Mytilus edulis: one gene and its partner. The protein of the gene in region 1 purifies or fractionates together with the protein of each later gene. This does not show direct contact. Links are inferred from orthologs where the notes say so. Each region holds a gene or a part of one and is shown in the gene's direction. Other genes may lie near its edges.

Evidence for each region.
Region 2: the proteins of 18S rRNA (guanine-N(7))-methyltransferase-like (region 1) and multifunctional methyltransferase subunit TRM112-like protein purify together in Homo sapiens (affinity purification with mass spectrometry; 5 studies listed by BioGRID and IntAct, counting the BioPlex papers as one, with this or other methods). This does not show direct contact. The link is inferred for Mytilus edulis from reciprocal best matches to the Homo sapiens genes BUD23 and TRMT112.

Annotation. Positions count from the first base shown.
Region 1 is NC_092349.1:64,044,150-64,061,936, forward strand, and holds the start of 18S rRNA (guanine-N(7))-methyltransferase-like, read left to right. Parts: upstream 1-11,166; 5' UTR 11,167-11,239; coding exon 11,240-11,284; intron 11,285-11,582; exon of another isoform or gene 11,583-12,661; intron 12,662-13,232; exon of another isoform or gene 13,233-14,145; intron 14,146-15,210; coding exon 15,211-15,248; intron 15,249-16,340; coding exon 16,341-16,436; intron 16,437-16,995; coding exon 16,996-17,078; intron 17,079-17,787. Other genes in the region: dnaJ homolog subfamily B member 9-like, read right to left, coding at 10,126-10,767.
Region 2 is NC_092345.1:1,178,307-1,195,380, reverse strand, and holds multifunctional methyltransferase subunit TRM112-like protein, read left to right. Parts: upstream 1-9,906; 5' UTR 9,907-9,963; coding exon 9,964-10,041; intron 10,042-11,078; coding exon 11,079-11,180; intron 11,181-11,839; coding exon 11,840-11,932; intron 11,933-12,470; coding exon 12,471-12,572; 3' UTR 12,573-12,825; downstream 12,826-17,074. UniProt on the Homo sapiens protein: Acts as an activator of both rRNA/tRNA and protein methyltransferases. Together with methyltransferase BUD23, methylates the N(7) position of a guanine in 18S rRNA.

The DNA of each region.
Region 1 (17,787 bases):
GTCGCTCACCTTGGTATATGTGAATATTAAACAAAAGAAACAGATGGATTCATGACAAAATTGTGTTTTGGTGATGGTGATGTGTTTGTACATCTTACTTTACTGAACATTCTTGCTGCTTACAATTATCCCTATCTATAATGAACTTGGCCCAATGAAAATTGTTAAAAATTAATTATAAAGGACATTAACTCCTTAGGGGGTCAATTGACCATTTCAGTCATGTTGACTTATTTGTAAATCTTACTTTGCTGAACATTATTGCTTTTACAGATTATCTCTATCTATAATAGTATTCAAGATAATAACCAAAAACAGCAAAATTTTCTTAAAATTACCAATATAGGGGCAGCAACCCAACAACGGGTTTTCCGATTCATCTGAAAATTTACGGCCAGATAGATCTTGACCTAATAAACAATTTTACCCTTCTTCAGATTTGTTCTAAATGCTTTGGTTTTGGAGTTATAAGCCAAAAACTGCATTTTACCCCTACGTTCTATTTTTAGCTGTGGCGGCCATCTTGGTTAAATGGCCGGGTCATCGACGCATTTTTCAAACAAAATACCCCAATGATGATTGTGGACAAGTCTGGATTAATTTGGCCCAGTAGTTTCAGAGAAGATTTTTGTAAAAGATTACTAAGATTTAAGGAAAATGGTTAAAATTGACTATAAAAAGCAATAACTCCTAAAGGGGTCAACTGACCATTTCGGTCATGAGACTTATTTGTAAATCTTACTTTGCTGAACATTTTTGCTGTTTACAGTTTATCTCTATCTATAATAATATTCAAGATAATAACCAAAAACAGTAAAATTTCCATAAAATTACCAATTCAGGGGCAGCAACCCAACAACGGGTTGTCCGATTCATCTGAAAATTTCAGGGCAGATAGATTTTGACCTGATATACGATTTAACCTCCGTTAGATTTGCTCTAAATGCTTTGGTTTTTGAGTTATAAGCCAAAAACTGCATTTTACTCCTATGTTCTATTTTTAGCCATGGCGGCCATCTTGGTTGGTTGGCCAGGTCATCGGACACATTTTTTAAACTAGATATCCCAATGATGATTGTGGACAAGTTTGGATTAATTTGGCCCAGTAGTTTCAGGGGAGAAGATTTTTGTAAAAGATTACTAAGATTTACGAAAAATGGTTCAAAATTGACTATAAAGGGCAATAACTCCTAAAAGGGTCAACTGACCATTTCGGTCATGAGACTTATTTGTAAATCTTACTTTGCTGAACATTTTTGCTGTTTACAGTTTATCTCTATCTATAATAATATTCAAGATAATAACCAACTAGAGGCTCTAAAGAGCCTGTGTCGCTCACCTTGGTCTATGTGAATATTAAACAAAGGACGAAGATGGATTCATGACAAAATGGTGTTTGTACTGAACATTCTTGCTGCTTACAATTATCTCTATCTATAATGAACTTGGCCCAGTAGTTTCAGTGGAAAATGTTAGTAAACATTTACAAATTTCATGAAAATTGTTAAAAATTGACTATAAAGGACAATAACTCCTTAGGGGGTCAATTGACCAATTCGGTCATGTTGACTTATTTGTAAATCTTACTTTGCTGAACATTATTGCTGTTTACAGTTTATCTCTATCTATAATAATATTCAAGATAATAACCAAAAACAGTAAAATTTCCTTAAAATTACCAATTCAGGTGCAGCAACCCAACAACGGGTTGTCTGATTCATCTGAAAATTTCAGGGCAGATAGATCTTGACCTGATAAACAATTTTACTACATGTGAGATTTGCTCTTAATGCTTTGTTTTTTGAGTTATAAGCCAAAAACTGCATTTTACCCCTATGTTCTATTTTTAGCCGTGGCGGCCATCTTGGTTGGATTGCCGGGTCACTGGACACTTGTTTTTTAAACAAGATACCCCAAAGATGATTGTGGCCAAGTTTGGATTAATTTGGCCCAGTAGTTTCAGAGGAGAAGATTTTTGTAAAGGATTACTAAGATTTACGAAAAATGGTTAAAAATTGACCGGACACATTTTTTAAACTAGATACCCCAATGATGATTGTGGCCAAGTTTGGTTAAATTTGGCCCAGTAGTGGCCCAAAAGTTAACGATGACAGACGCTGGACGCCAAGTGATGAGAAAAGCTCACTTGGCCTTTTTGGCCAGGTGAGCTAAAAATAGTATGGATAAAAAAAAACATAGGAAGTGCACAATAGCGTTATATGGTGAAGAAAAAGGCAAAACAATCTAAGAGGATGTGCCAATACAAAATGGGTACCCAAAAATGGCCAAACAAAACTAGAGGCTCTAAAGAGCCTGTGTCGCTCACTTTGGTGTCTGTCCATATTAAACAAAGGACACAGATGGATTCATGACAAAATTGTGTTTTGGTGTCAGATGGTGATGTGTTTGAAGTTCTTACTTAACTGAACGTTCTTGCTACTTACAATTATCTCTATCTACAATGTACTTGGCCCATTAGTAACAGAGGAAAATATTTTGTAAATTGACTATAAAGGGCAATAACTCCTTAAGGGGTCAACTGACCATTTTGGTCATGTTTGACTTATTTGTAAATCTTACTTTGCTGAACATTATCACTGTTTACAGTTTATCTGTATCTATAATAATATTCAAGATAATAAGCAAAAACTGCAAAATTTCCTTAAAATTACTAATTCAGGGGCAGCAACCCAACAACAGGCTGTCCGATTTGTATGAAAATTTCAGAGCAGATAGTCTTGACCTAATAGATTATTTAACCCTTTGTCAGATTTGCTCTAAATGCTTTGGTTTTAGAGTTATAAGCCAAATCTACATTTTACCCCCTCTGTTCTATTTTTAGCCATGGCGGCCATCTTGGTTGGTTGGCAGGGTCAAGCCACACATTTTTTAAACTAGATACCCCAATGATGATTGTGGCTAAGTTTGGATTAATTTGGCCCTGTAGTTTCAGAGGAGAAGATTTTTGTAAAAGATTACTAAGATTTACGAAAAATGGTTAAAAATTTACTATAAAGGGCAATAACTCCTAACGGGGTCAACTGACCATTTCGGTCATGTTGACTTATTTGTAAATCTTACTTTGCTGAACATTATTGCTGTTTACAGTTTATCCCTATCTATAATAATATTCAAGATAATAACCAAAAACAGTAAAATTTCCTTAAAATTACCAATTCAGGTGCAGCAACCCAACAACGGGTTGTCTGATTCATCTGAAAATTTCAGGGCAGATAGATCTTGACCTGATAAACAATTTTACTACATGTGAGATTTGCTCTTAATGCTTTGTTTTTTGAGTTATAAGCCAAAAACTGCATTTTACCCCTATGTTCTATTTTTAGCCGTGGCGGCCATCTTGGTTGGATTGCCGGGTCACTGGACACTTGTTTTTTAAACAAGATACCCCAAAGATGATTGTGGCCAAGTTTGGATTAATTTGGCCCAGTAGTTTCAGAGGAGAAGATTTTTGTAAAGGATTACTAAGATTTACGAAAAATGGTTAAAAATTGACCGGACACATTTTTTAAACTAGATACCCCAATGATGATTGTGGCCAAGTTTGGTTAAATTTGGCCCAGTAGTGGCCCAAAAGTTAACGATGACAGACGCTGGACGCCAAGTGATGAGAAAAGCTCACTTGGCCTTTTTGGCCAGGTGAGCTAAAAATAGTATGGATAAAAAAAAACATAGGAAGTGCACAATAGCGTTATATGGTGAAGAAAAAGGCAAAACAATCTAAGAGGATGTGCCAATACAAAATGGGTACCCAAAAATGGCCAAACAAAACTAGAGGCTCTAAAGAGCCTGTGTCGCTCACTTTGGTGTCTGTCCATATTAAACAAAGGACACAGATGGATTCATGACAAAATTGTGTTTTGGTGTCAGATGGTGATGTGTTTGAAGTTCTTACTTAACTGAACGTTCTTGCTACTTACAATTATCTCTATCTACAATGTACTTGGCCCATTAGTAACAGAGGAAAATATTTTGTAAATTGACTATAAAGGGCAATAACTCCTTAAGGGGTCAACTGACCATTTTGGTCATGTTTGACTTATTTGTAAATCTTACTTTGCTGAACATTATCACTGTTTACAGTTTATCTGTATCTATAATAATATTCAAGATAATAAGCAAAAACTGCAAAATTTCCTTAAAATTACTAATTCAGGGGCAGCAACCCAACAACAGGCTGTCCGATTTGTATGAAAATTTCAGAGCAGATAGTCTTGACCTAATAGATTATTTAACCCTTTGTCAGATTTGCTCTAAATGCTTTGGTTTTAGAGTTATAAGCCAAATCTACATTTTACCCCCTCTGTTCTATTTTTAGCCATGGCGGCCATCTTGGTTGGTTGGCAGGGTCAAGCCACACATTTTTTAAACTAGATACCCCAATGATGATTGTGGCTAAGTTTGGATTAATTTGGCCCTGTAGTTTCAGAGAAGATTTTTGTAAAAGATTACTAAGATTTACGAAAAATGGTTAAAAATTTACTATAAAGGGCAATAACTCCTAACGGGGTCAACTGACCATTTCGGTCATGTTGACTTATTTGTAAATCTTACTTTGCTGAACATTATTGCTGTTTACAGTTTATCCCTATCTATAATAATATTCAAGATAATAACCAACCAGGTGCTCCGCAGGGCGCAGCTTTATACGACTGCAGAGGTCGAACCCTGAACAGTTGGGGCAAGTATGGACAAAACATTCAAGCGTGATACAGCTCTGAATTTGGATTGTGATCAAATTTTTGACATTACATGGGTTTTTTTTACACAAAACAAATGTCAAGATTTTACAAATCAATTAAAGATTTCTTCTTCAAACTTTTTAAATCTAAAATTAAATAGTTGACACAGCATAGGTTTCTGACACAGAATGAATGTGGTCTAATGAACTTAAAAGTTTTTTTTTGCCTTTGAGCAATTCACTATGCTGTTGAATATTAATCCTCTCAAAAAAATATTTGAAGAAATTTTCTTTTTATTTATGAAATCTGAAATGAGAAAAATTTAAACCCCCCCCCCCCTTTTTTTTCACATCCCCGATTCCCTTTTTCCAAAACTGATATCAATTCAAATTTCTAATGGAGTTTGCAACAATAACTACTCTTTTAAATACACCATAAAATATTAAAATGTAAAATAAAGTGCTTGTTATCACTGAATGGTAAAGATTGGTTGGTAGTAAAAGTGAATATACATTGTTTATTGTATAAAACAATAAAAAAAACTTCATCACCAACATTTTATATTGGCAAATTTCCAATGAAGTTATTTACATAAAGTTATTGGCAAATAAAAATAGAAAATGACATCATAGTCATCTCTGGCAAATTTCCAACATATATTATCAACTACTATTCTATACAAAGAAAGATAACTCCAATTGAAAATTAATTGCTATTGCACAATATTGTGCAATTAGATATTTCTTGCTATTGTGCAATACTGTGCAATTGAAAATTTCTTGCTATTGCACAATACTTGATATGGAATCCTGATTTGGACCAACTTGAAAACTGGGCCTATAATTAAAAATTCGTAAGGGTTCCGCGGAACCCAGTGTCTCGCCTACTTTTGCTGTTAATTGCAGACTCAACAAAATGAGGAAAAACATCAATAAAAATTTCCCTCTCGATACTGTCTTTTGATTGAAAGAAGCTTCTAAGTTTGGTAAAAAATCCAGGATAGTTTATGAATCTAATAAATGTTGTATAAACTTTAACTGCAGACTGTATGTAATGTTAACTGGAAGAAAAACTAAGTCCATTGATAAGTAAAATACGGAAAAAGTGAATTATTTTTTTACAAAATTTACTTCTGAATAATATCTTATGATCAGAAACAAGCTTCTGTCTAAGTTTGGTAGAAATCCAGGATAGTTTAAGAACATTATAAAAATTTTAAAAACTTAAACCACAGAGTGAATGTTTTGTTTCTGGCAAAAAAAACTAAGTCCATTTATAAGTAAAATACGGAAAAGTGGAAATTTATTTTTACGAAATATTTTTTCTTGATACTATCTTATGATCATAAACAAGCTTCTGTCCAAGTTTGGTACAAATCAAGGATAGTTTATGAAAGTTATTAAAATTTTTAAAACTTTAACCACAGAGTGAATGTAATGTTTCCTCGCAGAAAAACAAAGTCCATTTATAAGTAAAATACGGAAAAAATGGAATTTTATTTTTACAAAATTTACTTCTAGATACTTTCTTATGATCATAAACAAGCTTCTGTCCAAGTTTGGTAGAAATTCAGTATAGTTTAAGAAAGTTATTAAAATTTCAAAAACTTTAACCACAGAGTGAATATTTGTGGACGCCGCCGCCGCCGCCGCCGCCGACGCCGACGCCGACGGAATGTAGGATCGCTTAGTCTCGCTTTTTCGACTAAAGTCGAAGGCTCGACAAAAATCAAAGTACATATTTAGATAAAGCATATCAAATAAGCCCAAGAATTTAATTTTTGTTAAAATCAAACTTAGTTTAATTTTGAACCCTTTGGACCTTAATGTAGACCAATTTGAAAACTGGACCAAAAATTAAGAATCTACATACACAGTTAGATTTGGCATATCAAAGAACCCATTTATTCAATTTTTGATGAAATCAAACAAAGTTTAATTTTGGACCCCCATTTGGACCAACTTGAAAACTAGGCCAATAATTAAAAATCTAAGTACATTTTTAAATTCAGCATATCAAAGAACCCCAAGGATTCAATTTTTGTTAAAATCAAACTAAGTTTAATTTTGGACCCTTTGGACCTTAATGTAGACCAATTTGAAAACGGGACCAAAAATTAAAAATCTACATACATAGTTAGATTCGGCATATCAAAGAACCCCAATTATTCAATTTTTGATGAAATCACACAAAGTTCAATTTTGGACCCTTTGGACCCCTTATTCCTAAACTGTTAGGACCAAAACTCCCAAAATCAAACCCAACCTTCCTTTTATGGTCATAAACCTTGTGTTTAAATTTCATAGATTTCTATTTACTTATACTAAAGTTATGGTGCAAAAACCAAAAATAATGCTTATTTGGGCCCCTTTTTGGCCCCTAATTCATAAACTGTTGTGACCTCAACTCCAAAAATCAATCCCAACCTTCCTTTTGTGGTCATAAACCTTGTGTTAAGATTTCATTGATTTCTATTTACTTATACTAAAGTTATTGTGCGAAAACCAAGAATAATGCTTATTTGGGCCCTTTTTTTGGCCCTTAATTCCTAAACTGTTGGAACCAAAACACCCAAAATCAATCCCAACCTTCCTTTTGTGGTCATAAACCTTGTGTCAAAATTTCATAGATTTCTATTCACTTAAACTAAAGTTATAGTGCAAAAACCAAGAAAATGCTTATTTGGGCCCTTTTTGGCCCCTAATTCCTAAAATGTTGGGACCAAAACTCCCAAAATCAATCCCAACCTTCCTTTTGTGGTCATAAACCTTGTGTTAAAATTTCATTGATTTCTATTCACTTTTACTAAAGTTAGAGTGCGAAAACTAAAAGTATTCGGACGACGACGACGACGACGCAGGACGACGACGCCAACGTGATAGCAATATACGACCAAAAAATTTTAATTTTTGCGGTCGTATAAAAACAGTAAAATTTCCTTAAAATTACCAATTTAGGGGCAGCAACCCAACAACGGGTTGTCCGATTCATCTGAAAATTTCAGGGCAGATAGATCTTTACCTGATTAACAATTTTACCCCATGTCAGATTTGCTCTAAATGCTTTGGTTTTGGAGTTATAAGCCAAAAACTGCATTTTACCCCTATGTTCTATTTTTAGCCATGGCGGCCATCTTGGTTGGTTGGCCGGGTCACCGGACACATTTTTTAAACTAGATACCCCAATGATGATTGTGGCCAAGTTTGGTTTAATTTGGCCCAGTAGTTTCAGAGGAGAAGATTTTTGTAGAAGTTAACGACGACGGACAACGACGGACGACGGACGCAAAGTGATGGGAAAAACAGTAAAATTTCCATAAAATTACCAATTCAGGGGCAGCAACCCAACAACGGGTTGTCCGATTCATCTGAAAATTTCAGGGCAGATAGATCTTGACCTGATGTAGGATTTAACCCAATGTCAGATTTGCTGTAAATGCTTTGGTTTTTGAGTTAAAAGCCAAAAACCACATTTTACCCCTATGTTCTATTTTTAGCCCTGGTGGCCATCTTGGTTGGTTGACTGGGTCACCGGACACATTTTTTAAACTAGATACCCCAATGATGATTGTGGCCAAGTTTGGTTAAATTTGGCCCAGTAGTTTCAGAGGAGAAGATTTTTGTAAAAGCTAACGACGGACGACGACGACGACGGACGCCAAGTGATGAGAAAAGCTCACTTGGCCCTTTGGGCCAGGTGAGCTAAAAATTAACTTAAATTAATAAGTCTGAATTCATTGTTTTTTAATTGAATATCATTCTTTTTTGTATAACAATCAATGCCGATTTACTTTTATAAATAGTATGATCTGTACAATATAACAATTAACAAACATTTCCTGATCTGACACCACAATTTTCAGCAAGCAAAACGTTACTGACATAAAATTGTTTTACATATTATAATAAAATAAACAAATAAAAATAGTTATACAGTGTACCATTTCATTTTTTCACTAAAGGTACCAATGTTATACATGTACCTGTACAATATGTATAAAATAGAACTTAATAAAACCAACATCATGCTCCAAAAAGTGGTAACCATATACGCTCAAATCTGAAACCCTTAAATTCTATAAAAGGGTTTTTGTTTTTTTTTCAAAAATGTAAAAATATTAAATCAAATTTCAAAAATATTCAATTAAAGATAATTAAGAAACAGGAACTAAAAAGAATGTTTTTTACATACACATGTAGTTGATTATTTTGTTCAATGATTTGTATAGTGATACAAATTCTTGTTTTGTTGAAAAGAAACTTGGCCATTATATATACCTATACAAAATGGTTCATACATGTACTTAAACTATACCTTAATATCATAAACATTTTGATAATTCACTTAAATTTTCATTCTGGAGAGAACAAATATAGCTATTGTCTGCAGATATATAAAAAATCGAACCTACAAATATTTATTACATTTTCTGATTTTTTTTAGCCTGTTTAGGAGCATGAAATACATTATTATAAGAAAATTTATTAAAAAATACATTTTACAACCAAATAAATTACCAATTCTACTTGTATAACAATATACAATTATCATGTTTAAAAAAAACATTTCACACAAGCTAAGGTTGTTCCTGTAACTCCTACATTATAATTCGAAAACTTTCACTCAGTGAAATCATTTTGTCAGTGTTGTGACTGTTGTCTCATTGGCAATCATACCACATCTTTTTTAAATGAATGAATATTTACCATTGTATATCTGACAGTTATAACTCTTCATAGCTTTTTTTTTAGATATTTTTGCCAGAATTCATATCATAAAAGTAAATCTGATATATGTCTGATAGATTGTAACAGTACATGTATAAACATAGTCATGATAGTTGTGTAAAGGTATGCCTGCACCCTTTTAAAATTAGTTTATCAGTTTATATCAATAACATATATACATTGTACATGTAGACTTAAAGAAGTCAATAAATGCTACATTTGATTCAGGTCAAATGTTTCAGCTGAACACTAATAGACATATTTTTGTTTTAAAATTAAAGGGAGACAACAAATGTATGAAACATTCTATGAGTTAAAGAAAAATCAGGCTAATAACATCTCAGCGCTGACATTCTGACAGAATTAGATTTTTTCTCCCTCAAGTTGATAAGTTTCAAATTTAAACAATGTATATTATTTTGAGTTTTTATTAAGATGAAGACTTTTTCTGCATATATATTTCTTGTATAAATATAATATCATGAAAATTCAATTTTTGTATAAATCCTGATCATATAAATAATTTTAAAAGTTGCAGGCGTGGACAATAAAACTAGGGGAAACTTGACCATTTTCAATGTTTATCTTATTTACTTAATTATACATGTTCATGTACACATCAATGTTTACACATACAATGTACTACAACTGTATATAAACATAATAAAGTTATTGAATTCATCTTATTACCTAATATTTTATGTATTTAAGGAATAAATTATTGAGCAAAATATACATAAAACCACAGAGAAAGAAAATATAGGTTTAAAATCATTGTGCATCTTCTCGTTTTCTTCATGAATTTTTTGCTTAAGATTTTCAAATTCAATGTCTCGTTGCTTCCTTTTAAAGTTATCAGAATAATGCATTCTATAATATTCATCAAAGTCATAAATCGATGTTCTCCCAGTCATTGGCCTTTGTCCCCTTTTAGCAAAGCCTTGTTGTTGATAAAATTGACCGCCTTTGTGGTCAGAGTGGTGTTCTTCTTTTCTTCTAGCATATTCGGGTCTATTGACACCTCGATCATACATTCTTCTAGTTGACGAATTTCCTAATACCTCATATGCCTGAGAAATTTCTTGAAACTTGAGGTGGGCCTCGGGAGATGGGCTGACATCTGGATGATATTTCTTCGACATGGTATAGTAAGCTTGCTTAATTTGCTGCTGGTTAGCTTTTGGGGTTATTCCAAGGATATCATAATAATATGAAGGTGATTTTTGTTTTCTATGATTTGATGACCATCGTGTCTGGCCAATACAGAAAGGACTGTATAAAATGCTAGTCCCTTGCAAACCTGAGGAAATTCCCCTGCCTACAGAATATTTAGCATTCATGACCTTCAGAGCTAAGTTTTGGTTTTAATTTCATTCAATTTGTCCCATTTAACTCAATCCATCAATAAATGGAGGTTTATCTGGTAATTGTTTCATATATAGAATTGTATTCAAGTATTTCTAGTTCATATTCAATGCATATTTTGCAAAAATTGGTGCTGTACAACCTGTCAACAAACACCGTTGCGTAATCCCGTACGCGTCAAGAGTTCAAAAGATAGAGATCAAATATTATCTTCGGTTAATATAAAATAATTCCTCTAAAAGTCTGATCTCAACTATTTCAAACCTAATGTATTGTAATTGATTAATGAAATTGCCAGAGCATTCTCAATATCCAAGAGTTAAATAATTGTTCTAATGCTACTCTATTCATTGCAGAATATATTTCATTTTAATGGGATTTGAAGAAATAAATTTTTGAGGCCGGTACCTAGACTCTGAGTTTTAATTGAAGTGTCAAACAGCAACAATGGCACATGGTGGAAGACCAGAAAGACAAGCTCCTCCAGAAATAGTCAGTAACATCTCAAAAGTTGCTTTTCAAAAACAGTGAAATCGTGTTTATGGATCTTGTATTCTTGTGTCAGCAATTATAAGAAATCCAAATAATATTTTATATTTGAAATGACATCTCATTGCAGTTTTAGATCTCTTGACTCTTTAAATAAAAAAAAAATATCAACCTTTAAACCACAAAAATTGGTACCCATTTATGAAAAATAAATAAAAAAATATCCCTGTTTTGAGAACAATATATATCTCATTGACAAATTATAAGTCCAACATGTAAGATTAGGGAGAGAGATTGTCTTACCAATGTAACGGCGACCCTATGTTTTAGAACAGTATTATGTCCCTTTAAAATGGACTGTTGTAAAATTAACATTTAATTACTATTGTTAATATGAATTATTGATAAAAATTGTTGTTTAACATGTTTATATATTTAGTTACATTATGGTGCTATAATTCATTGAATTTATTCTCATATTTTGTTGAATTTGCAACTTATAATTTAGTTATAGAGTGTTTATATTTGAATAGTATTTGTTAAATAACTGATGATTTAAATAATTGTACTGGGCTTGTTTTCATAAGCCATTTGGTTGATAAAACAACCGCTTATTTTAGCTTTTTAGTAAGAGCTTACTGGTGTTGCACACCTCACTGCCTAACTGGTCTTGCACAGACCTCAGTCACTGTCTACACGTAAGGTCTAGCACAGACTTTGCTGACTAACTGGTCTTGCACAGACCTTGCTCACTGTGTACACGAAAGGTGTTGTCTACACGAAAGGTGTAATGCATTTCACAGCATCTAGACACAATGTCGCTATTGTGTCTAGAATTATAATGCATCTAGACAAAGGTTAAAATGACAGATTAAGCTATGTCACTTTTATGTGAATTTTAACTTGCTTTTTATATTCATGTTTCATGTTTTTATCTTTACAAATTGTTGATATTTGTTGAATTATGTAGTTTGCTAATAAACTATGAAAACTTGCTAGCGTTAAGTTTTGCAAAGCCAAATATGAAGGATCAGAGACTCAGGATTCCTATACCTACTCTTTACACGGTCTGGGGTAAAATATGTTAAAGTTGACACAGAAAATACACAACGTAAAAACCCCTCCGGTTACATTTTGGTGGCAGCGGTGGGATCCTGAGGTGAAACATCTGATCTTCTCATTAGGCGGTTATGCTATTGATACAGTTAAATATGTTATGTAAATTGTCAAATTTTAATATTGTAAAATAAATGTCATTATGCTTGCTTGATGTTAATTTTGATTTTAAAAGATATTGCCATGTATATGTATGAAATAATGATGAGTAATCATTTCAGTTTAACTTTACAAAGACTGATTTTAGATTGGCACAGAGATAAAGTATGTATTGATATTTATAGAATGTATAAGCAATTAATTGCATAGATGAAAAAAATTCAAATGGTTTAAAGAAAGCTTAACTTAGATTGTTTAGATAGAATGGTATATTTTGATCATATTTGTCTTACTTAACACATTCAGTAATTACACATAGCTCAAGATGCATGTGTATGAATCGACAGGAACAGCATTGTAAAGTACCTCATTGTTGTATCCTTTAGACCCATGAAAAGGGCTGTCGCCTACATCATTTTATTTTATGCTAACTTGCTTCAAAATTATCATGTTTATGTGGATATAAGCTTGGATGCCAACATAATTGTTTCTGCCCGATTGACGTGTTTTAATCGCTAATGTGAGCCTCTGATTCACGTAATCGCTTTTGGCCTTTTATAATAAAGTGCTGGTTGTTGCATGATTGTTTTATTCTATAGTAAATATCTCTTAAACACATACAGAATATCTAGTACATTTTAGACAGTTACATTATTTCCATAGCATTTGACACAACAGTTTACTGGGTGACGATTCAGTTTAACTATTTGTTTAATTTTGTTATTAAATTTTTCAGCACTTGTTTTCAGTGATGGTGATGATATGAGATAATATATACGAGTGTTATAACTGATATTGGAGATGATATGGCCAGCATTTCTAGTGTTCAATTGATAAAGGAATTGGAATGTGTTCCGTGTGCAATATATATATGGATGCATATACTGTTTGTATATAATGGAAATTCATACCAGCCTTGTTTTTAAACTTCATGGCTTCAGTTTTTTTTAAGGAGGGAGGAATGTAACGGCGACCCTATGTTTTAGAACAGTATTATGTCCCTTTAAAATGGACTGTTGTAAAATTAACATTTAATTACTATTGTTAATATGAATTATTGATAAAAATTGTTGTTTAACATGTTTATATATTTAGTTACATTATGGTGCTATAATTCATTGAATTTATTCTCATATTTTGTTGAATTTGCAACTTATAATTTAGTTATAGAGTGTTTATATTTGAATAGTATTTGTTAAATAACTGATGATTTAAATAATTGTACTGGGCTTGTTTTCATAAGCCATTTGGTTGATAAAACAACCGCTTATTTTAGCTTTTTAGTAAGAGCTTACTGGTGTTGCACACCTCACTGCCTAACTGGTCTTGCACAGACCTCAGTCACTGTCTACACGTAAGGTCTAGCACAGACTTTGCTGACTAACTGGTCTTGCACAGACCTTGCTCACTGTGTACACGAAAGGTGTTGTCTACACGAAAGGTGTAATGCATTTCACAGCATCTAGACACAATGTCGCTATTGTGTCTAGAATTATAATGCATCTAGACAAAGGTTAAAATGACAGATTAAGCTATGTCACTTTTATGTGAATTTTAACTTGCTTTTTATATTCATGTTTCATGTTTTTATCTTTACAAATTGTTGATATTTGTTGAATTATGTAGTTTGCTAATAAACTATGAAAACTTGCTAGCGTTAAGTTTTGCAAAGCCAAATATGAAGGATCAGAGACTCAGGATTCCTATACCTACTCTTTACACGGTCTGGGGTAAAATATGTTAAAGTTGACACAGAAAATACACAACGTAAAAACCCCTCCGGTTACACCATCATGACCATGTTTACATGATTTTTGTTAATATAGAAAGAAACATAATGTGGATTCAGTTTACTCGAACATCTCAGTTTTCACAAATATACATTGCCAAATCTTTTCTTTGATCATTTAGATTTTTAACTTATCTAAAAGAAAGTATTTAGACTAAGTTTACAGCTAGAAAATCTGTAAAAGAAATGGTAAAAATCTATTAACCAAATTTTTTTTGTTAAAACTGACATCCAAGGGACCATCAAATACAATACAAATACATATACATAGTCTTTTATTGTCTGAATTATGATGCCCAATAATTTGAATTAATTAAGTTAAATTTCATGCAAGTGATTACATATTGATTACATTGATTATTATAACAATTTAACAAAATCAAATCTTCTGTGCAGATCAATTTCTGATTTAAAACTCTGATATTTAAACTTAAATCAGTAAATGTCACAAATATAATGTGAATTAAGAATTGAGTTTCAAAATTATATAATGTGCAAAACCAAACATTGCCATCATCTTAAATGTTGTTGACAAATTAACATTTGAAATAGCCCCTACATATCTTATATTAATTTGTTGACTTTTTTTTATGCCCAAATTATGGGCATTATGTTTTCTGGTTTGTTCGTCCGTTGATTTGTTCGTCCATTCGTCTGTCCCGCTTCAGGTTAAAGTTTTGGTTAAAGTTTTTGGTCGAGGTAGTTTTTGATGAAGTTAAAGTACAATCAAATTGAAACTAAATAAACATGTTCCCAATGATATAATTTTTCTAATTTTAATGCCAAATTAGAGATTTTATCCCATTTTCATGGTCCACTGAACATAGAAAATGATAGTGCTGATGCGGCATCCGTGAACTTGGGACACATTCTTGTTATCTCATGAGTTTTGCATATATTTTATTACATTTTTGTTGTATTTCAGTTTTACAATGAAGATGAAGCCAGAAAATACACATCAAAGTAAGATATAGTGTGCAAATTAAGATAAAAACATACTTAATTATTTTTTCTTATCAGATTTCTCAGTACAGGGTAACATTGTACCTCATGTACATGTACTAATTTGCCCCGAAAAACATAGAGTAAAGATGTACAAAATGGATATCAGTCAAATCTTACACAAATTATTTCTGTACCGATAGAGAAAGAGTTACAATGTATATCAGTCAAACCTTACACAAACTATTTCTGTTCCGATAGAGAAAGAGTTACAATGTATTAGTATATATATCATTTTATTCTGGTATCACCTAAGTTGGACAAAGGTATACAGAAAAACACATTAGTTTACATTACATTGCATATATACATTTGTTGAGGAAGCATTAAATATGAGCTTTCTACAACGGTATGATCAGTATAGCCGACAGGTTAACATCAGAGAGAATCCAGTTTGTAATTTATAATTCTAATAAATTGGCACAATTTTCGAAGTTTAGATTTCTGTTTTTGGTTCATAATAGCATTAAATTTTAAAACATTAAAGTTCGTTAGGTATTTCTTGTCAATAAGTAGTGTTCTATCTGTCAAGAGACTGCTGCATTCCATTACATAGTGGAATTCGTCACCTATAGCAACTCTGCACAACGGACACTTTCTCTGTTCTCGGGGAATGTTTTGCCAACTACCATTTTCAATCGGCAGTTTATGGTTCCTTGTCCTAAACTGCGACATTGTTATTACATCTTTATCATCAAGTACGTTAAGGTAGTGTTTGAAATTGTGTGATGTCTTGTATAGGCGATAATTCAGGGCTTTCGGCGAATCGTTAGTCAAACCTTACTTAAACCACTTCTGAATACTGTAACTTTCAAATCTTTAAAAAAAAAAAAAAAAGAAAGTTGAACCTCATCTTTTAATAAAATATGGTAATAGTCAAACTTTTATTAAACCACTTCTGAATATTTAACATGTTTAACAGTCAAACCTGCTTAAACGCATATAAACAATATGTTGTTGATTCATTGTTATTTGTGGACTTGGTGGAAAAAGGTCAGTCGATAGAATAAAAAGTTTTAAGTGTAACATCATTATGTATTTTATATTTGATAGTACTCGAATGATTGAAATACAGAATCAGTTGTCAGAAAGAGCTATTGAACTACTGGGATTACCTGAAGATCAGCCATGTTTTATATTAGATGTTGGGTAATTGTTTTATTTATTTCTTTAAAACTTGCACTTTCAGACAAATAATTCATTTGAAATGGTTTCTTTTGATAAGTATATATTTTGATACTTTTTTAAAGATATAACTACCATTATTTATAGCTATATATTTTTCATATTTTATTATATTATAGTATAATTGTTAATGCATGGAGAATGATAATCTGGAACTTGGAGTTATTAAATAGTAGAAATGACAATATGTTATTTAGTATTATGCAAAAATGAGAACAAAGTTGTATAATTACAATAATAATTTGTATATATATAACTTTATTTCCTCTATTATAGAGATTTGGTGTACATGAAATATATATATCAGAAAATCAAAAACAAAGAATTAAAGTCACTGTTTAAAGTTAATATAAGAAAACATGAGCACTGTCAATAATATCGATAATGTACACATCTTCTATCGATTGTGGAAATCTCTGCAGATTTTTTCAAAGTGCTGAACACAAGTCTTAGAGAAAAAAGTTAATTTATAATGTTAGATATATGATATTTCACTAAATCAATGAATGTTTGTGTTTTATAGGTGTGGATCTGGACTAAGTGGTGAATGTTTGACAGATAATGGACACTGTTGGATAGGTGTGGATATTAGTCCCTCCATGCTTGGTAATTTATTGATTATATAGTCAAACTGAAATAAAACAAATACAGATACATGCAGTACAAATTGCTTATATTTTCTCTAAATCCATTGAATAGAGTATAATATCTTATCAAAAGACTGACTCTAAATATGTAGAGCAAATTGATAGACAAACAACTAAGAAAAACACATGGTCAAGATAGCCTGACATGGTACATGCACATAATGTGCTTTGGTTAAACCAGTGTTTATGCTCACAACCTCTCCTTTGCTGATCTACCAGGTAGATTATGAGTTTGTAAACACACAACAACAACAAACCTGTAAGGTCCAACTGCCAACACGATGACTATTTACTTACTGGATAAAATAAAGAAAAAAAGATAATTTCATTCATTTTCAGAATTAAATGCTAAACTTATGTATGTCAATAAATATATAACCAAACTTGTTTGTCAAACTTTGGTTAGTATTTGCATTTGCAACAGCCTTTATTCTGACAGCAATTAAAAAGACATTTTTATGCCCCACATACGATAGTAGAGGGACATCATGTTTTCTGGTCTGTGAGTTCGTCCGTCAATCTGTTCCGCTTAAGGTTAAGGTTTTTGGTCAAGGTAGTTTTTATACGACCGCAAAATTTGAAAAAATTTTCGTCGTATATTGCTATCACGTTGGCGTCGTCGTCGTCGTCCGAATACTTTTAGTTTTCGCACTCTAACTTTAGTAAAA
Region 2 (17,074 bases), on another chromosome or scaffold:
CCTGGTGGAATTATTACTTGTGATGATGTAAGCTCTATTATTAAGCAACTAAAACGTAGAAAAGCGTGTGGCAATGACATGATCCAAAATGAACACTTGATATATGGTGGACCAAAAGTTTCGGAATGTCTTTCCATTTTCCTTAATATTGTTGTAGAGAAACAGCAAGTTCCTAGTGACTGGCAGAAAGGACTGGTTGTTCCCTTGTTTAAAGGAGGCGATAAATCTAAATTGAGCCCGGACAGCTATCGACCCGTGTGTTTACTATCTAGTGTATTGAAGCTTTTTGAAAAGATAGTACTTATCCGTCTACAAACATTTGTCGTATTACCAGAGACGTTTCCTAATCCTCTCCAACATGGATTTCAAAAAGGTCTTGGTTGTCTGACTGCGTCCTTTTGTCTCCTTGAAACAATTTACCATAACATAGAACAAAATAGCAAAGTTTTTGTAGCGTTTTTAGACAGTAGAAAGGCCTTTGATACAGTATGGCGCAAAGCACTTATGTTTAAATTATTTAATTTGGGTGTCAAAGGGAAAGCATGGTCCCTGATTAATGATATGTATAGTAAAACACAAGATTCAGTTGTTGTAAATAAATGTAAATCAAATGACTTTGTAGTCAAAGAAGGTGTTAGACAAGGAGGGGTATTGTCTGGTTTTTTATACTTAGTGTTTATTAATGAACTAATTAATGAATTGGAAAGATGTAATAGAGTCACTGGTGTTAATAGTATAAAATGCTGCGCTCCATCACTTGCTGACGATATTACATGTATTGCTACAACACCACAGCGTTTACAACACATGCTGGATATATGTACAATCTATTCAAATAAATGGAGGTTTCAGTTCAACGGAAAGAAATCATGTGTTATTCAATTTTCAAAATCCTCAATAAAAACAGACTATAACTGGAAAATTAACCAAGAATCTGTACCGGTTGAAGACAGTCATATTCATCTAGGCATTGAACTTAACGGAAAATTAAACGCACTTACACGAACGACAAAAGCTTGTAGGAAGGGTAGAAACACTTATTTTGCAATTGCCAACTTAAGAGGCGAAAATACGAATCCTTTGGTTCTCGTCAAACTGTACAAGTCAGTAGTAATTCCAACTTTTTTATATGGCTGTGAAGTTTGGTGTGACCTGAAGAATCAAGATATCACATTACTGAATAGACTTCAGCATTTTGTTGTAAAACACGTACAAAAGTTTAAGACGTCAACAAGATCAGATATGTGTGAAAGCATGGTTGGACTACGTAATATAACCTGTGACATTGAAAAACGTAAATTATATTTCTTTGGAAAACTTTGTAAAACGAAAAACTCTTATCTTGCAAAACAAATCTTTCTACAAAGACTTTTTTCGTGCCTGTTAGATGGACGAAACCATATTGGATTTATTCCGGACATATTAAACATTCTATGTAAATACAATCTGTATGAATTTCTTATAACCTATATTAGTGATGGCAACTTTCCTGATAAGCTGCAATGGAAACGTTTAGTTGTAAATGCAGTTGAATCAAAACATGATAATGACTGGCTGATTCGCATTAATTCAGACAATGACTTTAGGAGGTTTAAATATATTCATAAATCCGTATCTGCAGCTCATGTGTGGAAATTCCCCTCGAACAGCTCTGAAATTCGCACTGCATTGTTTATTGGAAAACTTATATCTACCGCTCCAACCCATGTTTTCAAATTTTGTGAAATTTGTGACCGTCCGTTCACTGACGTTTTCGTACATGCATGCTTTGGCTGTACGTGTACATCAAATATGCACAGCACTTGGATGGACTTAATAATAGAAAACTTTTGTCTCGACCTCTATGTTGAACTAAGTGAATGTGATGATGATTCCTTATATACAATCTGTCTAGGAAAAAACCCTTCAACCATGCTTAGTGATCCCGACTTAGAGTCATTCAAGCGACTTTGCTACATCCATGTAACAAAATCTGCATCCGAATACAATCGTCAATTGAACAATATAGTATAATGCTAACACATGTAATATCGACAGCACGCGATATAAACTCTTTTGCTTTTGAACTGATCACTTTCATTTATATGTAAATATTGCGTATTTCTCACAACTTTATCATTTATATGTTCTGTTATTAATGTTTTAATGTATTGTTCATGATTATATAATTCATGTAATCTCTGTAAAGAGGAAATAAAGATATGAATGAATGAATGAATAGTATTATAGATATATATGCCATGCATATGAAATATGAAATGACAGAAACATATAATGCATATATTATATGTCTCTAGAATAGACAATATGTAAGATGTAAACATTTATAAATTAGGTATTAATCTGAGTTTGAATTATAAGTAATAAACAAGGTTAAGATTGTAAGTTATACCCAGAGTTTAAATAATATGTAATAAACAGAGTTTGGACTGTAAGTTATAAACAGAGTTTAAATTATAAGTAATAAACAAATTAATATAATGTTACATTGGGGAAGATGTTTATTAATTCATTAATTTTAAGGCAAGTTTAAAAATTGAATAGCATTATATAAAAAAGTTAGACTATCACTAAAATAATGAGTAGAAGATGTTGTTTCAGGTTTTTTTACTGTTCAAGATTAACAACCAGCATATTGTTAATTTTTTTTGGATGATCATTGTCAACACAGAAAAAACACCATCATAATCAATTAACATTTATGAATTCAGATAAAACACTGAATTATTCAAAAGAATGTTCCCAGGCTAAATGTGATTCCGTAATTGGTCTTGACATGAACATTAACAAAGTCCTTCTACTAAGGGAGTTTAACAACTTGACTAAGTTGGTCCTGAGACTACTGTGTTATACTTAGTCTCTGAGGTCTGTCGCAGAATTTTTTTTTATTTTTCTCACAGAAGACACCAAGTCAGTTCAGATTGTACGTGCATAAGACATTTTCAAACAGATTTATCATAAAGTATAAAGTATGTCGGGACAATAACAGACTTTTAAGTTATGACCTTGAAAAGCACATTTAGAGTATGATGCATGTAACCATTGTAACCTGACTTTCCCATGCATGTAACCATTGTAACCCGACTTTCCCATGTATGTAACCATTGTAACCTGATTCTCCATGCATGTAACCATTGTAACCTGATTTTTTCATGTATGTAACCATTGTAATCTGACTTTCCCATGTATGTAACCATTGTAACCTGATTCTCCATGTATGTAACCATTGTAACCCGACTTTCCCATGTATGTAACCATTGTAACCTGATTCTCCATGCATGTAACCATTGTAACCTGATCTTTTTATGTATGTAACCATTGTAACCTGACTTCCCCATGTATGTAACCATTGTAACCTGATTCTCCATGCATGTAACCATTGTAACCTGATTCTCCATGCATGTAACCATTGTAACCCGACTTTCCCATGTATGTAACCATTGTAACCTGATTCTCCATGCATGTAACCATTGTAACCTGATTCTGCATGCATGTAACCATTGTAACCCAACTTTCCCATGTATGTAACCATTGTAACCTGATTCTCCATGCATGTAACCATTGTAACCCGACTTTCCCATGTATGTAACCATTGTAACCTGATTCTCCATGCATGTAACCATTGTAACCCGACTTTCCCATGTATGTAACCATTTTAACCTGATTCTCCATGCATGTAACCATTGTAACCTGATTTTTTTATGTATGTAACCATTGTAACCTGACTTTCCCATGAATGTAACCATTGTAACCTGATTCTCCATGTATGTAACCATTGTAACCTGATTCTCCATGTATGTAACCATTGTAACCTGATTCTCCATGCATGTCACCATTGTAACCTGATTTCCCATGCATGTAACCATTGTAACCTGATTCCCCATGCGTGTAACCATTGTAACCTGATTTCCCATGTATGTAACCATTGTAACCTGATTCTCCATGTATGTAACCATTGTAACCTGATTCCCCCATGCATGTAACCATTGTAACCTGATTCCCCATGTATGTAACCATTGTAACCTGATTCCCCATGTATGTAACCATTGTAACCTAATTCTCCATGCATGTAACCATTGTAACCTGATTTTCCCATGTATGTAACCATTGTAACCTGATTCCCCCATGTATGTAACCATTGTAACCTAATTCTCCATGCGTGTAACCATTGTAACCTGATTCTCCATGCATGTAACCATTGTAACCAGATTCCCCATGTATGTAACCATTGTAACCCAATTCTCCATGCGTGTAACCATTGTAACCTGATTCTCCATGCATGTAACCATTGTAACCTGATTTTCCCATGTATGTAACCATTGTAACCTGATTCCCCCATGTATGTAACCATTGTAACCTAATTCTCCATGCGTGTAACCATTGTAACCTGATTCTCCATGCATGTAACCATTGTAACCAGATTCCCCATGTATGTAACCATTGTAACCAGATTCCCCATGTATGTAACCATTGTAACCTAATTCTCCATGCGTGTAACCATTGTAACCTAATTCTCCATGCGTGTAACCATTGTAACCTAATTCTCCATGCGTGTAACCATTGTAACCAGATTCCCCATGCTTGTAACCATTGTAACCTGATTCCCCATGTATGTAACCATTGTAACCTGATTCCCCCATGCATGTAACCATTGTAACCTAATTCTCCATGCGTGTAACCATTGTAACCTAATTCTCCATGCGTGTAACCATTGTAACCAGATTCCCCATGCATGTAACCATTGTAACCTGATTCCCCATGTATGTAACCATTGTAACCTGATTTTCCCATGCATGTAACCATTGTAACCTGATTCCCCATGTATGTAACCATTGTAACCTGATTCCCCATGTATGTAACCATTGTAACCTGATTCTCCATGTATGTAACCATTGTAACCTGATTCTCCATGCGTGTAACCATTGTAACCAGATTCCCCATGCATGTAACCATTGTAACCTGATTCCCCATGTATGTAACCATTGTAACCTGATTCCCCATGTATGTAACCATTGTAACCCAATTCTCCATGCGTGTAACCAGTGTAACCTGATTCCCCCATGTATGTAACCATTGTAACCTGAATCCCCATGTATGTAACCATTGTAACCAGATTCCCCATGCATGTAACCATTGTAACCTGATTCCCCATGTATGTAACCATTGTAACCTGATTCCCCATGTATGTAACCATTATAACCCAATTCTCCATGCGTGTAACCAGTGTAACCTGATTCCCCCATGCATGTAACCATTGTAACCTAATTCTCCATGCGTGTAACCATTGTAACCTAATTCTCCATGCGTGTAACCATTGTAACCAGATTCCCCATGCGTGTAACCATTGTAACCTGATTCCCCATGCATGTAACCATTGTAACCAGATTCCCCATGTATGTAACCATTGTAACCTAATTCTCCATGCGTGTAACCATTGTAACCTAATTCTCCATGCGTGTAACCATTGTAACCTAATTCTCCATGCGTGTAACCATTGTAACCCGACTTTCCCATGTATGTAACCATTGTAACCTGATTCCCCATGTATGTAACCATTGTAACCTGATTCTGCATGCATGTAACCATTGTAACTCAACTTTCCCATGTATGTAACCATTGTAACCTGATTCTTCATGCATGTAACCATTGTAACCCGACTTTCCCATGTATGTAACCATTGTAACCTGATTCTCCATGCATGTAACCATTGTAACCCGACTTTCCCATGTATGTAACCATTTTAACCTGATTCTCCATGCATGTAACCATTGTAACCTGATTTTTTTATGTATGTAACCATTGTAACCTGACTTTCCCATGTATGTAACCATTGTAACCTGATTCTCCATGTATGTAACCATTGTAACCTGATTCTCCATGTATGTAACCATTGTAACCTAATTCTCCATGCGTGTAACCATTGTAACCTGATTCTCCATGCATGTAACCATTGTAACCAGATTCCCCATGTATGTAACCATTGTAACCAGATTCCCCATGTATGTAACCATTGTAACCTAATTCTCCATGCGTGTAACCATTGTAACCTAATTCTCCATGCGTGTAACCATTGTAACCAGATTCCCCATGCTTGTAACCATTGTAACCTGATTCCCCATGTATGTAACCATTGTAACCTGATTCCCCCATGCATGTAACCATTGTAACCTAATTCTCCATGCGTGTAACCATTGTAACCTAATTCTCCATGCGTGTAACCATTGTAACCAGATTCCCCATGTATGTAACCATTGTAACCTAATTCTCCATGCGAGTAACCATTGTAACCTAATTCTCCATGCGTGTAACCATTGTAACCTAATTCTCCATGCGTGTAACCATTGTAACCAGATTCCCCATGCGTGTAACCATTGTAACCTGATTCCCCATGCATGTAACCATTGTAACCAGATTCCCCATGTATGTAACCATTGTAACCCAATTCTCCATGCGTGTAACCATTGTAACCTGATTCTCCATGCATGTAACCATTGTAACCTGATTTTCCCATGTATGTAACCATTGTAACCTGATTCCCCCATGTATGTAACCATTGTAACCTAATTCTCCATGCGTGTAACCATTGTAACCTGATTTTCCATGCATGTAACCATTGTAACCAGATTCCCCATGTATGTAACCATTGTAACCAGATTCCCCATGCGTGTAACCATTGTAACCTAATTCTCCATGCGTGTAACCATTGTAACCTAATTCTCCATGCGTGTAACCATTGTAACCAGATTCCCCATGCTTGTAACCATTGTAACCTGATTCCCCATGTATGTAACCATTGTAACCTGATTCCCCCATGCATGTAACCATTGTAACCTAATTCTCCATGCGTGTAACCATTGTAACCTAATTCTCCATGCGTGTAACCATTGTAACCAGATTCCCCATGCATGTAACCATTGTAACCTGATTCCCCATGTATGTAATCATTGAAACCTGATTTTCCCATGCATGTAACCATTGTAACCTGATTCCCCATGTATGTAACCATTGTAACCTGATTCCCCATGTATGTAACCATTGTAACCTGATTCTCCATGTATGTAACCATTGTAACCTGATTCTCCATGCGTGTAACCATTGTAACCAGATTCCCCATGCATGTAACCATTGTAACCTGATTCCCCATGTATGTAACCATTGTAACCTGATTCCCCATGTATGTAACCATTGTAACCCAATTCTCCATGCGTGTAACCATTGTAACCAGATTCCCCATGCGTGTAACCATTGTAACCTGATTCCCCATGCATGTAACCATTGTAACCAGATTCCCCATGTGTGTAACCATTGTAACCTAATTCTCCATGCGTGTAACCATTGTAACCTAATTCTCCATGCGTGTAACCATTGTAACCTAATTCTCCATGCGTGTAACCATTGTAACCAGATTCCCCATGCGTGTAACCATTGTAACCTGATTCCCCATGTATGTAACCATTGTAACCTGATTCTCCATGTATGTAACCATTGTAACCTGATTCTCCATGCGTGTAACCATTGTAACCAGATTCCCCATGCATGTAACCATTGTAACCTGATTCCCCATGTATGTAACCATTGTAACCTGATTCCCCATGTATGTAACCATTGTAACCTGATTCTCCATGTATGTAACCATTGTAACCTGATTCTCCATGCGTGTAACCATTGTAACCAGATTCCCCATGCATGTAACCATTGTAACCAGATTCCCCATGTATGTAACCATTGTAACCTGATTCCCCATGTATGTAACCATTGTAACCCAATTCTCCATGCGTGTAACCAGTGTAACCTGATTCCCCCATGTATGTAACCATTGTAACCTGAATCCCCATGTATGTAACCATTGTAACCAGATTCCCCATGCATGTAACCATTGTAACCTGATTCCCCATGTATGTAACCATTGTAACCTGATTCCCCATGTATGTAACCATTGTAACCCAATTCTCCATGCGTGTAACCAGTGTAACCTGATTCCCCCATGCATGTAACCATTGTAACCTATTTCTCCATGCGTGTAACCATTGTAACCTAATTCTCCATGCGTGTAACCATTGTAACCAGATTCCCCATGCGTGTAACCATTGTAACCTGATTCCCCATGCATGTAACCATTGTAACCAGATTCCCCATGTATGTAACCATTGTAACCTAATTCTCCATGCGTGTAACCATTGTAACCTAATTCTCCATGCGTGTAACCATTGTAACCTAATTCTCCATGCGTGTAACCATTGTAACCAGATTCCCCATGCGTGTAACCATTGTAACCTGATTCCCCATGCATGTAACCATTGTAAACAGATTCCCCATGTGTGTAACCATTGTAACCTAATTCTCCATGCGTGTAACCATTGTAACCTAATTCTCCATGCATGTAACCATTGTAACCTAATTCTCCATGCGTGTAACCATTGTAACCAGATTCCCCATGCGTGTAACCATTGTAACCTGATTCCTCATGCATGTAACCATTGTAACCAGATTCCGCATGTATGTAACCATTGTAACCTAATTCTCCATGCATGTAACCATTGTAACCTGATTTTCCCATGTATGTAACTATTGTAACCTGATTCCCCATGCATGTAACCATTGTAACCTGATTCCCCCATGTATGTAACCATTGTAACCTGATTTTCCCATGTATGTAACCATTGTAACCCTACTTTCCCATGTGTGTAACCATTGTAACCAGATTCTCCATGCATGTAACCATTGTAACCCGACTTTCCCATGTATGTTACCATTGTAACCCGTCTTTCCCATGCATGTAACCATTGTAACCTGATTCTCCATGCATGTAACCATTGTAACCTGATTCTCCATGCATGTAACCATTGTAACCCAACTTTCCCATGTGTGTAACCATTGTAACTGATTTCTCTATGCATGTTTCACTGTAACCAAATTCTGCATGTATGTAACCAGTGTAACCTGATTTCCCATGCATGTAACCATTGTAACCAGACTTTCACAGGCTGGTTACAAATTTTTACTGGATTCCCCAGGGACAGCCATTAATGTACAGTTTGCAACAGATTAAGCCACCATTGCATATCATTTACTAAAGGTCCATGTGTGTAACCAATGTAACCAATGTAACCATTGCTTCAATGGGGGTAACAAAACAAGATACCTATATTCAGGTGCACATTTTGTGCCATATCTATGGTACCCAGACCGAAGTTTAAACTAGAATGAGTACTTTGGGGGCCTCCGTTTGTCAAAGTTGCCCCTACTTTGACCTGGAGATCAATCTTCTGATACTTCGAGTTCTCGGCTTCCTCAACCATAATAACAGAATTCCCGATGTCCTAGCACTCCCTTTGTGTTGGGTGGGGATTAATTGTCCTTGTAAAAATAATTGTCGTATAAACATACGTTAGTGACACATCTCCATTCGAGTAGGGAGTGTACATGGATGCCACTGTACGCTCGCAGCTTTCGAGGGGTTCTTCGGATATCGGAGGCATTTACCAGTACATACATACATACATACATGTATATACAGTATTCAAAAAATAAAGTTCATGCATATTTTGTACGCTAATGCCAATAATGTGCATGTATCAATTGAGCAACAATATGAAAATTCTAACATAAATTGAACACTTCTACCTACAATTTCAAATGTGTTTAATGTCGTGCAGTTTAATTTAGATTTGAAAATTTAGAAAAATAAACTCACATGTTTCATGGGCGCAGACATCTTGGTTAATAAAAAAAAAGATTATTTAATTATCTACTAGATAAAACGAAGTGAAAAAAGAAACAAAATTGATGTGAATAAAAATAATTTTGGATCTGAAAAATAGAAATATAATTTCAATGCATTGTAATTAGCACTGAAAAAAATAAATGAAATTAAAAACAGATTTAATGAAACAAATTTTATTTTCGTTTTGTACGAAATTTTGCATTGTTTAGTAATCGACGTAAATAAAGCGAAAGAGAAAGATGAAGCTCCTTACTCACAACATGCTTACTTCTAGTATAATAAAAGGTGTAAAGAAGGGATACCCACTAACAATTCAGGTGAAACTTAATGTTGTTGCATAGCTGTATTTTACAATGTAGAAATTGACAAACGAGCCTTCTAAACCTCCCCGTTTATAACTTGCTAACCCCTTTTATCCTGTTGTCCTAAATTGTATAATGACTATAATTAGGCAGCTATACAGGGGGTACTTTCATCATGAATAAAAATAAAATTATTACCAAACGATGTAAAGGAGGGTTGTATTAAATGGGGGTACCTTTATGATGAATAACAGTAAAAATCGTTGCCTAATGATGTTAACGGTAATTTTTGTTGTATGACGATAAAATGTACTCTGACAATAAAACATCAACTGATTTTGACGAATCACGTTAATTTTTTTCTAAAAATGACGGTAATGATAATTTTTTGAGACCTCTGACATGTCTGACAAATCTCGGCAAGGATATTTTGAGGAATCACGGTAAAATTTTAACCAATTTGACGTTAATGGTAGCCAAAAACGGCTCTTAAAGGCCATAGTAATTTTTGGTGCATGACAATAAAATGTGTATTTTCTTTATGATGATATAATAATCGACCGATTTTGACGAATCCTGATTTTTTTTCTCTCCAAAAAGTAAAGGTTATGGATAATTATTTGAAACCTCTGAAAAATAGGACATATACATGTAACTATACTATATACAAAATGTATATGTCCTTGATCTCATTAACATTTTAACCAATTTGATTCTTATGAAAGCCATAAATTTGACTCCGATGGTAAAGAGTACCGGTATTCCTCCTCTCATACATAGTGTGTAAATGTGTGAAACCTTTTTTTATTACTTACCAGATTGGCAAGCAGCTCTTCATTTCAACTTTGTTTCATTTTGAGAGTCATCCTCCTGCCAAGGCAAAAGAAAAGTAAAGCATATATTTTTCTATTCACACAGTGTTTTATTTACCATTGATTTACTCAGCACACACCACAGCTATATATAAGTTTAGACACCTTGAATATACTTGTACAAATACAACTTAATTGAAATAAGGGTAACACATATTTTTGTTGATTATTTTTTTATAGGCAACTAAAGTGGAGGTGAAAGAGGTTGACTTTAATCCAGAGTTCACAGCCAGAATGATCCCTAAAGTGGATTGGCCAGCTTTGTGTCAGGCAGCTCAGTCAGTAAGGATATACGCAATATAGTTAGAAAATACAAAGGGACACAACTCATAATTCTAAGAATATCTGAAAGAAATCTTTTTTAATTTTAAGATTTTTTACTCTCTGAATAATCAATTAATAACTTGTTCATGCATAGTTTAACTAGATAATTAAACTCCAGCATTTTAATTTTGAGAATAAATGCTAAAAATAAATATACATTGTACAATAGGTAGTTTATAAAAAAGAAGATGTGGTATGATTGCCAACGAGACAACTATCCACAAAGACCAAAATGACACAGACATTAACAACTATACTAGGTCACCGTACGGCCTTCACCAATGAGCAAAGCCCATACCACATAGTCAGCTATAAAAGGCCCCGATAAGACAATGTAAAACAATTCAAACGAGAAAACTAACGGCCTTATTTATGTAAAAAAATGAGGTTCTTTATCATGTTTATAAATAAAAATTGAAAGAAAATCAACCCCTCAGTGCTTAGATTTCCTGTATTGAGTTTTTAAATAGGCTTCTTGCAATAAAGTTGATCAATGTCTGCAGGGATTTTATCCACAATAATCAAAATATAATACAAGGATAAGCTAGCATTAGCTAGGTACACTAAGGTTGGCTAGGTACATTAAGGTTTATGTTTTGTTTATTTTTACATTTAAGGTTGGTCATAATGAAGGTTTACCAACAGAAGTTGCTGAAAGTTATGAATCTGATGAAGATTTTTTAAAAAAGGCACACAGAATTCTTATGGAGGTATATATGATAACAAGAAGATAAATTTACAAACTAGTTAAGATGTATAATCATAGTTAGCAACCATTTAAAAGTAAAGCCAATTTCTGGAATAATGAATTTTACTCCAGAATTATAATTTTAAGTTGTTATCTCCCTTTTCGGAAAGTAGAACTGATAATCTGTTTATACTCCTTGTTGATTTAAGATAATATTTTGTTTATATTGATATTACAACTTTTATCCTATTGTGGCTTCCAACATTCTCATTATCAAGCTGGCAATGTCTGTAATCTAAAGGAGCACGGGACATCACCATGACAATATACTTAAAAAAGACTTGATGAAGCAGGTAATATGATGGCATAATTAGTTATGGTTCTACTGAAAATTTCCCAAATGTACAAGAATAAGAAAATTTAAAGATTTTTTAGAGGACATTAAGATCAAGTGAACAAAACCATTAGGAATACAGTTTCAGCCATGAACACATATAGTTTTATGGAGATAATACCAAATCTTATATTTTAAATAATTACATCCACATTTTTGTTGGCAGGTAGAAATTGTAGAAGGTGATCTGATTTGTCCTGAGACAGGAAGGAAATTCCCTGTTAATAGAGGAATACCCAACATGTTGCTGAATGAAGACGAGGTGTGACAGAAGCCATTTTGAACAATCTTGTGATAATAACTTTGTGTCATACATTTTCTATGACTTGATAATTGAATATAAAGCAACAAAATTATTTTGACAATTCATCATGTGAAATGTAAAGTTTCATCAGAAATAATTGGGAAAATTATGAACACAATCTTCATATGTACTTTGTTACAGAATTTGGTAAAGAACATTTCCTTTGTTGTAGAATGCTTGTTTTAAGCATGTGACTGTTAATAAAGGTATAAGCCAAGTATGTATTTAATTTTGTACCTCTTAAAACAAAGTTACTGTGGATAAATTTGTACTCACGAAATCCATGGCAATTGGTTTTCAATGAAGAAAAATGAATCGGTTTGAACCCACCCCCACTGAAAAATTGTCATTTCCCGTCTATTTTCCGATTTTAAAACGACCTTGAGAGGTGAACATTGACCAGACTGTGTTTCTTTGTCATTCAAATCTTACCCCATAGATACAGAAGTCAAATCATGCTAACTGGGAGTTTATGGGACTTAAGTGTCTTGCTGGCGAATTATTATTCTTAAGTCAGGTCTGCCTAAATGTCTGTTTTTACGGATTTTTGACAAAACGGTGACCTAGATTTTACAGACTAGTTTCCTATTGGCCATATGATACCTCTTTGTGTTCCTATACCACCTATGCATGAATTTACGATAATAGTTTATACCTACAATGACTACCAGTTACGTAGTGGCCATCAAAAGATGCCCACCCCCACCTGATTTTGGCTACTTTTCACGTTTTTCCGATTTTGAACTCTTAAAGGGCTTTCAAAGTGCCATATTTTCACAATCAGACGTCCGAGAAGAGTTTATGGACCATGAACTGCTTGGTTGAAGTCCCTGCTCTAATGACAGTTCAGGTTGGGCAGTTTAAAAAAGGTATGGAGGGTCATACGGGCCATCAAAGAATGGTTGTCGCCATCACGCCTACAGGCGGGATTGGGGGTTAAAGAGTTAAATCTTATTCTAAATATTGAGGGGAGATAATCAAACCAACTTACTGTAATATTGCAAAATATGGCAATGTTCTCTCGTCAACACAATTCCTCTTAAACCGCAGAATAGATTTTGATAAAATATTGCATTGATGTAGAATGCCACCTGAAAACTTGTAGGAAGGAATATCATCCTTGTCATATGGCATGTACATTTTAAAGGGGAGATAATTCAAGATTTTTAAATATATAGTAATCTTCAGTTGTAAGTACAACTCTTGCTCAAAAACTATTCTGATATTAATGAAACTTTACACAGAAGTAGAGCACTTCCTAATATAAAAAAGAAGATGTGGTATGATTACCAATGAGACAACTCTCCACAAGATACCAAAATTTTGTTAAGGTATACAAATCTGGATGGACATGTGAATGGGGAGATAATTCAACAAATATACTATATATTTCAATATACTGGCATGTGCCGATGTGGTCTATTTTTGCAATGTTTACATTCATAATGTAGAACCTGTTTTTGAGGGCTTCTTTTTATTGCTTTTCCTGTTATTGTCCATAAGCATCAAATTTACACAAAGGGAATCTTTTAATGATTTTGCCTTGATAGCAAAAATTTAGAGAAAATTTTCCACTAATGAGAATTTCATGCTTTTACATAACTGTAAAATACATTCAACCTAAATATTATTCCTATAAATAGTACCTCCTAAACTACCCTATAGATTTTGATGAATCTTTACATAGTTGTAGAATGCTGCCTGCCCATAAAAGAATACATGTTTAAGGGGAGATTATTCAAAGTACTTTTTATTTCAATATATGGTGATTCTGTGGTAAGCACAATTTATTGCTTGACTTAGTTATATTCAAGAAACTTGACTCAGTGATAGAACACAAAGGGGCTAATTCAGAAATTCCATTTTTGACTTCAATTTGACCAAATTGCTCCCAACTTTTAGTGTAATGTAATTTTCTACTATTTCATTAAACATGAAGAAATAAAGTGGGAATATGAATGAATCAAAGAGCTGATAGCTCTGAAGTGGAAGAAGGTGAATAAAAGGTAACTTGAATTACCATAAAAGCAGCCCCACTTACCCAGGCTGCTTTGTTCCATTATTGTTAAAATGGTTTTTTTTTCTTCGAACAAGAAAAGGTCATAAGTACATGGATTTCCCATCCGTACAATCATTTTCTATGTTCAGTTGACTATGAAAATTAGGTAAAATCTTTAATTTGGCAGTAAAATTAAGAAGATCATATCAAGAGGAACACATGTGTACTAAGTTTCAAGTTGATTGGATTTCAACTTCATCAAAAACTACCTCGACCATAAACTTTATAACCAGAAGCAGGACGGACGGACAGACTAGAAAACATATTGCCCATAAATGGAGCATAAAAATAGTAAGACTTGTTACATACCCGCCAACTTTTGAAAGTTCCCATATGGGTTTTTAATGCACAACAACAATTTTAAAGGTTACAATTTTTAGCGACGTATTTTGCAAGATCTGGATTGTCTAGAAAAAGTGTCATATTTGTATGATGAACTTACATGCCTTTTCCTTAAGTCTGTTTGCATGATTCTAGTTATATATTAAATCGGTAGAAAAAATATACATAAAGCTAGCAGACCAGGGTTATTTTCCAGATCAAGAATATTAGATGCTTGTTGAAATCTCCAATTTTGAATTATGCACAAAGATGGACCTTTAACAGGTTGGGAACAACACTCCAAATGAGGGTAACCTAACTGGAAGATCATCACAACCCACTGTAAAAAATGAGCACAAAAAAAGTCATTTATATTCATATTATTTGATGAAACTTCTCCCAAAGAACTATGCATCTATTAAGTACTGAATGGTCAAAACATGTTTTTTTATCGACATAAATTTTGTCGTAAATGTAACCAAATGATGTAGAAATTGTGTTTTTTCTTCAAATTTCCATCAAATTGTAATGTTTATAGTTCCCTTATTGCCTCTCTATTTGAATAAATAAAATAATAAGAAGAATCTGTTTCTTGTTTTGTTTTGTTTTGTTTTTGAGTGTGGAACGATTTAATAAGAAAATTGCCAGAAGGCAACGAAAGAGTCATTGCTATCTCTGTTCAAACCAAGGATCGACAAGTTTGTATTATCAACTCATACCTACCAACTTTAAATACTAACTCAGTAATAAAATATAGGGAACATTTAGATATTATCAAATTTCTTATACAAAAGTATTGCTATATGGATTTCATAATCTGTGGGGACCTAAACGGAACCTTACTCAATTCAAGGCATAATCAACATGATAGAATATTAAAAGAGTTTGTCAAAGACTATAATCTACATCAACTAGATGATGATGATCACCTTCACTCTTTCTTTCATCATAATGGAAAATCTACATCTAAAATAGACTACATCCTGTCATCAAATAGCAACCTTATCCACTCTATTCAAACTTTCTCGCAAGATGCAATAAATTTATCAGCCCATGTACCAGTCAAGGCTCTTTTAACACTTCAAGCCGACAAACAAAAACAAAAAAAAATCATCAAATTTCAGCAACGAAGTACTGCATAAAACAGAATGGGAAAAGTGTGTACCATCTATTTACAGTGAAGCAGTAAAAAAATCGTTAGATCAAAATAAAAATCGAAAAGTAACAACAGAAGACCAAACAAATAATCTAATAGATGCAATTAAACAAGCTGCAAGGAAAACAATTCCGACAAAAACTTTGAAAATCCGCGGCCCAAGACTAAAAGTTTCACAACATGCAAAAAAGTTGCTTACGATTAGCAAACAGAAACACAGGATATGGGACCTTCATGGGAGAAAGAGAGGTGAGGACACTTGTTTTTTGGAACTGAAGGAAGCAAAAAGAAACGTAAGAAAAAGACTACGGCAAGAAAGAGCAACTGAATGTAAAGAATTTTATAAAAAACTGGAAAGTGAACCCAACTCTAAAAATTTCTTCAGATTAATACGCAGAAATACAAACAGCACTAAAGAACTTGCTACAACCATACTATATGATGATCATGAACTCACTGATCCTGAAGAACAAAGAGAGGCAATGGCAAAATATTTTCAAAATTTAGCAACACCTAAGGACGATCCTGATTTTGATGAAAAATTTCTAAATAACTGCCAATTCCGCTGTGAAATTATAAAAGAAATCTGTAGCTTATCTGATTCTAGTTCAGACAAATTCAACCCCACCGAAATTTCTGAGGCAATATCAAATCTGAACAATGGAAAGGCATGCGATGAATATGGGCTATCTGCTGAACACTTCAAATCTGCTGAAGAGGTTGTTGTTCCGTATCTCGTTTCTCTATTTAACCAAATATTGGCTGAGAAAAAGGTACCAATCCAATTTAAAACCGGTATTCTTAATGCAGTATGTAAGAAAAATAAAGATGACAAAATTCTTGATAACTACAGAGGCATCACCGTATCATCAATTATAGGAAAAATTTTTGAACATGTTATCCTTCAGAGAGTGCTTCTGAAATTAGATA